Linked DNA regions of Diceros bicornis minor. The protein of the gene in region 2 interacts with the protein of the main gene of each other region in a pairwise test. Links are inferred from orthologs where the notes say so. Each region holds a gene or a part of one and is shown on either strand. Other genes may lie near its edges. The genes, in order: CDC73 and TSGA10.

Region 1 (3,911 bases), on a different chromosome or scaffold from region 2:
AAATGAATTCTACTTACGGCTGCACGTCGGACATAAACAGGATGAGAAAGGTGCACATTATTAAGTAGAAACAAGATAGAATCCAATGTGTAGTACTCTCTGGGTTGGCCTTCCTTTCCAGTCCTGAAATAATTAAGACAAGATTTTTACTCACAATTCTAATTCAACTTGTGGGGCTTAATTTTATGTATTAGTTGATCTATAGTCACTTTGCTATCCAAAAATGGATTTAACACGGCTAACAAAAACAAAGTGTGAAATCTAGTAAGTGGAACTGTCATTAGGGCAAAAGGAACACAAAGGCAGACAATAACCAGAGCAAGACTTAGGGAAAGCACACCATATTCATACTCTGAGGTACTACACACCTTTTAGAACTTGGCCCAAATTAGGTTCTGGGCTTTGTCAACAGAGAGAAAACCTAATCAGTTACAGACTGGAGAGGATCCATAAGAGAAAACAATCAAACTGATGAGGAGAAGCACTGCTACTACTGCTACTAAACTTACAAGAAATGTATCCTGTCTCCTAAGTAAGACACTGCTGAACAACATCCCTAACAACATTCTTACAGTAAACACAACCAATTCACAGGTGTAATTCTTATGACATGCTTCATTAAATTAAATTAAATTAAACCAATGATATAAAACCAAAATGAATTCTACCTGTGATAAAACAATGTAGTCTCAGGGTGCAAGCTCTTTAACACAAGCACAACAAATGTTAGCGTCCAATCCCACCCCGCCTACTACATTCTCCCCATCTACAAATGTCAATGTATTACTTGAATTCATCTGAATACGGCCCAGTATAATCAGCCCCAAACCTACTTTTCTAGCCTCTATTTCCACTTTTCCTCTAGATCAACATATTTCAAATCACACATCACTACCAATTATTGTACTCTGAAATCTAACATATGGGTAACAACCAGGGTTTTTTCATGATATAGAAAAACAAAATAATAGACTGCCTTGCATGCAATAAGGGTAAGTACTGTTTAAAGTAACAAATGTGTACACAGTTACACGTGCACACAGAGATGAATGGTAAATGAAAATGTATTTGTTGCTGTGATTCACTGTTGTAAAAGTTTGAAATCTACTATTCTAAGCATTCCTTTTTCACTCCTGGCTTCACTGAATTGCTGTCAAAACATTTCCTTTCCAGCTCTCATGCCTTTAAAAGCACTCAGTTCCCCGGTCCTGGAAGATCTAACCCACCATTTCACCCTCAGAATTCCTACCCATTCTTTAAAGCTTATTCATTTGTTCATTCATTTATTCAAGAAAAATCTGCAGCATCTCTACATGCCAAACACTTCTATGAAACCTTACCTCATATCCAAGCTAGAAGTGACTGCTCTTTTCTTAAGAGCTGTTAAGAGCTGGACTGCAATTCATATCAAGTTAGGTTTTATCTCCTCTATTCTGATTAAGTTAACCTCCTCTGAGTAAGGGATCAGAGTACTAAGAAACAATTTTTTCTATTTCTCAGATTGAGCTGCCCTACACCCTGAGTACTCCTTAACCACTTTTTAAAGAAAAAAAACACACACACACACAGTTAAAACTCCAATCAAATATAATTCTGCTTTGCAAATTCTTTTAGAAGGACAAAACACAGGAAACTCAGAATGATGTCATTTCATCAACATTTCATAAAGCTAATTAAACCATAACCCCTCCAGGCCAAAAAACAAAAACTAAAAACCAACCAACAAACTAAATCTCCCCTAGCTTTTCACCAACTCTTCATAAAGCCCACTGCTCCCATTCAATCAAACAAAATGGGTATGGAAGTTCTGGTTCAAGGTCCTAATTACTCCCAGAAAAAAACATCAACGGAAAGAAACATCACTGAAAAGACCCGCAAACGATGATCAACCAGGCCTCTCTCTAGACGTTTTCCTTAAAGACAAATTCAGAAAGCCCCACGTGGATCAACGTTCCAAAACACTTCTCTTCAAAACATTTCCCCAAATCGCATACCACGCTCTGTAAAGCCCACTGCCCTTCACAGTAACTTGCTCCCTGCGGACACTCCTGCCTTCGCCTCGAGCACAGATTCGGGTGACTCGCCCTAAGTGACCAGACCCCTCTCCCGTCCTAACTTCACCGAGTCGGTTCCCTTCTCTCTTCGGGAGCGAATCACGAAAGGAGAGGAGAGACAGACCGGGAGCCGCAAGGGCCAGCAGAGAGAGTTACAACACACGCAGCCTCGGGCAGAGAGGAAAGACTGAAGCACAGGGAGAGGCGCGGGGGGCGGGACGGGCGCTCCTTCGCGCACCTTCACCCGCCGGGGGAGACGATCCGGGAAAGGCACCCACTGCCCCGCTGCCCTCCCTGCGGCGTCCCCAGGACCTAAAACATGGAGCACTCCGGACGCCGCCCGCCGGGCCCTCCTCACCTGCCAGTCTAACTTCTGCTCCAGAGAAGAACTTCCACCCAGAGCACCCGTTTTTCCCCGTCCCCACGGGAAACGGGGGGAGGGGCTGGGAAACAGGTCGCCCGGGGCGCCCCGCTCCGCCCTGCCGCCCCCCGGCCACCGCCCGGCCGGACTCACCCCCAGACCACATAGTTGGTCTTCACGTTCTTGGGCCAGGAGAACTCGCCGAAGATGACTTCGTCTCCCTTCACCACGATCTCCTTCTTCTGGATGTTGTACTGTCGCAGGACGCTCAGCACGTCCGCCATCTTCCCCCCCCGCGCCGCCGCCGCCGGCCCCGGGCGCCGCCGCCGCCGCGCCGGCCTCCCTCGTCCCGCGCCGCCGCGCCCTCTCCCTCCGCCGCCGCCGCCGCCGCCGCGAGCACCAGCCGCCGCGCCAGCAGCCGCCCTCGTCTACGCCAGCAGCCGCGGCCGCAACCACCCAGGCCGCCGAGGACCCCGCGCTGACGGCGAGGCCCCGCCGCCGGCTGCCCGCGGAGAACGCCTGACTGCGCGCCGCCAGCGCCGCCCGGCCGCCGCCAGGGGGAGCCGCGAGCGCCCCGGAACACGCCCCGCCCAGCCCGCACTCGGTACGGGGCCGACTCCCGGCGCGGAGCTCGGAGCGCGGAGACACGGCGCCCACGGGCGGCGCACGTACGGGAGCACTGCCGGGCGCACGCGCGCCGGGCGCGCACCTCCTGCCCCGCGGCGCGCATGCGGCGGGCGACAGGTGCGCGCGCACCTGCACGGAAGGCCAGTGCGTCTGTTCCTAGAGTGCGCGCTGGGGGCTCCAGGACGCGCCTTGAGGGCGGCCCGGGGCTCTCGCGTCCCAGCTTGGGCCAGGGTGGAGTTTGGCAAAAGATGTGCAGCACACTGAGATTCCCTTCCCATCTGGATCGGACCCAAGCCTAGCAAATGGCCTCCAGGTCTTAGCGAGCCGATTAAGCCCCTCTAGAAGGGGGAGGTTTGGGGGGAAGGTTTGGTTTGGAGGTTTTTTGTTTTTGGTGGATTCACATAGTGGAAAAGACAGAGTCCAGCGGAGGTCAGTCTAGGGCACCGAGATTTGTTAGCGGCTGTTTGACCTCCGTCAAGTTACATACCTTCTCACAGCATCAGTTGGTTAATGGAGAAAATGGAGTTAGGATGAGAGTAAGTTGAAAGAGTCTAGCAAATCATCCAAGTATCATAAATGATGGCTCTGCCCGTTCAATTCTTTAGATGATGACTTTTTCCATTCTGGCCCGTTCTCCTCCCTGCCAGCTGCAAAAAGGACTACATTTAAATGGCTCTCTTCCAGGATGCTGATGGGAAAGTTAGAGAACACAGCCCAAAATGTCCAAATTAGAATTTGGATTGGATTTGGATTACTTGATTTTTTACTGGCACTCAGAAGACTCGAGGGGGTCCTTGCTGTGCTGGAAACAAAATAAATTCAATATTCTGTGGCCTGTATACTTTAAATCAAACATATCCCGTGGGACC
Region 2 (3,911 bases):
TGTGGAGAAAGAATACTGGTCAGGAATCTGCGCTTTCATTGCTCGTTCTGCCACTTTGCTATTCAATCCTGACTGGATGGTGCAGGGCTGACCGGGGCCCTGGGTCCGCAGGCTCCCCAGACTGCAGGCTGCCGGCGCTCACTCCAGCAGGCCGGCTCTCTCCCCACAGGCTACAGCAGCAGGACCCGACCTGGGAGGCTCCCCGCAAACCCTCCCCTGGCTGCGGCAGGAGAGCGCACCAACCTCCCAGCGCCCAGGAGCAGCTCTGAGGAGTAACGAGTTTACTGAACGTGGGTCCAGAATGGGGCCCGATCCCTGGGAAAAGCGGCACAAAGCCGCGGCAGCGAAGCATCAGGCGTTCCAGAGCCGAGGGAAGGCAGCCAGGGGCGATACACCCCTGCGCATGCGCGTTCTATCCAGGTGTGGCAGCCACCGGCAGGGAGTAAGAAAAAAGTCATGGAAAACGCGGCTGGCGGCTGGTTACTAGGAGACGGGACGCTCGGGTGGGGCGACTGGGCGCTGCGTGGGCGTGCGCCTGCGCGGCGTGGATGGACCGGGAAGAGGCCTCTCCACGGCGCCCTGTACGGCGGACAGGTGGACGTACGACTCGCTACGTACGTGGGTGCGCGCGCACGGCTTTTAGTCGCCGCGAGAGGCAGGGTCGAGCCAGGTACGCGTGCGCACGGGGACTGGGGGCGCGCAGGAAGGAAGCGGAGCGGAGGCGCCGGGGAGGTGGAGGACGAGCCCCCTCAGGTACAGAGCGTGAGGGCGGGGCCGACGGCGGCGCCGGCCGGCGCTAACCGCCCCCGCCTCCTTCCCGCCAGGTCCCGCCTTCCTCCGCCTCCACCGGGGAGGGGTCAGCTCGATTTGGGGGTGGAAAGAAAAGGGAAAGGGGCGGAGGATGATGACGGGGAGGGACCTGGATCCCAGGCTGAGGCCGAGGTCTGGCGGTCGCCGGGATGAGCTCCAGGGAGGACGGCGGGCCGAGAAGTCCCGGGAGGGACCCAGAGCTCCAGGTAGAGGCAGCGGGGCTGCGCCGGGTTGGGGTAAAGCAGCTCCTGGGCCAGAAGGCCTCAGACGGGGCGGCTGCAAGAGGGCGAGCGTGGCGGGGGTTGGGGGCTGTGGGTGACCCCCGAGGTGGGTATTCGCTGCTTGAGCCGCTGTGAGGGGCAGTAGCCGGCAGAGTTGCGGTCCGGAGGAGCCCTCCAGGAGCAAACTTTGCCCCTGTTGTTTCTTGGGAGCTTAGGGTTGATCCCAGTTCCTATGGTGACCGCTTCGCATCCTGCCGCAGCTCTCCGCTTGGTTGTTGGGGGGAGTATTCTGTTTAGAAACGCTCTGGAGTGGAGCTGAGGAATTTGGAAGTCAGAAATTTGGGAGTTCAACCTGGCTCTTCCTGACTCCCCACCTCTCACTTCTAAACCTCTTTATAGACTTTGGGAGGTGAAGGGCTGAGATTACGTAGGTATTTGCATGAAAATCTCGTATAATTTCAATAGAAATTATACACAAGAAAGGCAGGGCTGGCTTTTATTTGAAAAAGATATTTGAGACTTTAAATAACCAAGCAGCGATCATGGACCTGATACCCAAATACGAATAGAAATACATTTTTTTTTCTTTAAATAAAATCAGACATCGCGGCTTCAGGAAAAGTTTGCGTAGATGTCAGTGTCCTAGGGTTTTCCTTCTTCCAGTCTAGGCCCTTATATCTCAGGATATTTGTTGTTTTAAATTTCCTCTACTGGTTTTCAGCACTTTTTTTTTTTTTTACCTGTAAAGAAATAAATGACAATCGGTTTGTAACTAGAAGAAAATCGATTAGTTATGAAATATAAAGGTGTCATGTCGTTCAAATCTGCCTTCAGGGTAAAACTAATTCTCGTTTGGATTTTAACTGATCAGTGAACTAAACCCTTCAGTCTTAATTAGTGGGAAATAACTAGGAAGGTACATTAATGAAATATTTATTTTAAACAATAAGATTTGACCTTGTTTAATAGCAGCTTCCAAAATATTATTGTTTTTTGTTTATTATTTTGTTTACCTCCTGAAAAAAAGCACTGCTTATTGCCCAGCATATAATCAGATGTAGAGATTCTCTGGGCTTTCTGTCTTCTTTTGCAGTTGCTTAGATCACCTTGTTTTAGGATAATTTGTTTTTAGAGTACTCCATATACAGAGGCACTTAAAGCAGGTGTTACTATTCATTCCCTTTTCCAGTTACTCACCCCTTCCCCCCAGATGTAGCCACTATTCTGATTCTATGATAGCCACTTCCTTGCTTTTCCTTATAGTTTTGGTATCTTTGTATGTAAGCAAGCACATTCTAGTTTGGCTTGTTTTTGAACTTTATGTAAATGGAATTGTACCACTTATTCCTTTACATTTTGCTTCTTTACTCCATATTATGTTTTTAAGATTTATCTTTGTTGCTTGTTGTTTAGTGTTACATTATAAGAGTATACCACAATTTATCTACTCAACTGTTGGTGGACATTAAGGTTTTTACAGTTTTTGGTAAATAGGAACAACACTGCTGTAAACTTTCTTATACATGTACTCCATGATAATCTTTTGAAGTGAGCTAGTTAGTAAGGTAGTTCTATTTGTCTTAGTTATGCTGTTAACAACAGTCTATATATTACTAAATTCTTTTAGTTCATAAAAGCCTCTTGAAAACAACTCTTTAACCTCTTCTTATAGTTCCAAGAGGTCCTGATAAATGATACCTCTCCAAAGGCCATTGGAGTTTTTGTTTTTTATAATGATTTAATTGAGGTCATATTGGCTTACAACATTGTGTAAATTTCAGGTGTACATAACTATATTTCAGTTTCTGTATAGACTGCATCATGTTCACCACCAACAGTCCAGTTTTTATCTGTCACCATACATGTGTGCCCCTTTACCCCTTTTGCCCTCCTCTAACCCCCTTCTCCTCTGGTAATCTGTTTTCCTTATCTATATGTTTGTTTGTTTATCTTCCACATGTGAGTGAAATCATATGGTATTTGTCTTTCTCTGTGTGACTTATTTTGCTTCGCATAATACCCTCAAAGTCCATCCATGTTGTTGCAAATGGCACAATTTTGTCTTTTTTATGGCTGAGTAGTAGTCCATTGTATATATATAGCATATCTTTATCCATTCATCCATTGATGGGACTTGGGTTGCTTCCACATCTTGGCTATTGTGAATAATGGTGCAATGAACATAGGGGTGCATGTATCTTTTGGAATTATTGATTTCATGTTCTTTGGATAAATACCCGGTAGTGGGATAGCTGGATAATATGGTATTTCTAGTTTTAATTTTTTGAGAAATCTCCATACTGTTTTCCATAGTGGCTGCACCAATTTGCATTCCCACTAGCAGTGTATGAGAGTTCCCTTTTCTCCACATCTTCTCTAACACTTATTTCTTGTCTTGTTAGTTATAACCATTCTGATGAGCATGAGGTGACATCTCATTGTAGTTTTGATTTACGTTTCCCTAATAATTAGTGATATTGAACATCTTTTCATGTGCCTATTGGCCATCTGTATATCTTCTTTGGAAAAATGTTCATTTCTTCTGCCCATTTTTTTGATTGGTTTGTTCATTTTTTTGTTGTTGAGTTGTAGGGATTCTTTATATATTTTGGAAATTAACCCCTTATCGGATATATGATTTACAAATATTTTCTCCCAGTTGGTGGGTTGTCTTTTTGTTTTGTTGATAGTATCCTTGGCTTTGCAGTAGCTTTTAGTCTGTTGTAGTCCCATTTGTTTATTTTGTCTTTTGTTTCCCTTGCTAAGGCCATTGTTTTATGCTCCTTTAAAAAGACAAGTTATTTCTTTACAGTCTAGTCTGGATTGAGGAGAAGTGAAGAGCTTGGGTTCAGCTGGAATGACTGGAGAGAGTATTTCTTT

Evidence for each region.
Region 1: the proteins of TSGA10 (region 2) and CDC73 interact in binary tests that used the Homo sapiens proteins (3 or more experiments, as listed by UniProt). The two-hybrid records come from large-scale screens. The link is inferred for Diceros bicornis minor from reciprocal best matches to the Homo sapiens genes TSGA10 and CDC73.

Annotation. Positions count from the first base shown.
Region 1 is NC_080777.1:22,530,130-22,534,040, reverse strand, and holds the start of CDC73 (parafibromin), read right to left. Parts: upstream 3,050-3,911; 5' UTR 2,700-3,049; coding exon 2,569-2,699; intron 124-2,568; coding exon 18-123; intron 1-17.
Region 2 is NC_080779.1:14,242,820-14,246,730, forward strand, and holds the start of TSGA10 (testis-specific gene 10 protein), read left to right. Parts: upstream 1-951; 5' UTR 952-959; coding exon 960-1,016; intron 1,017-3,911. UniProt on the Homo sapiens protein: Plays a role in spermatogenesis. When overexpressed, prevents nuclear localization of HIF1A.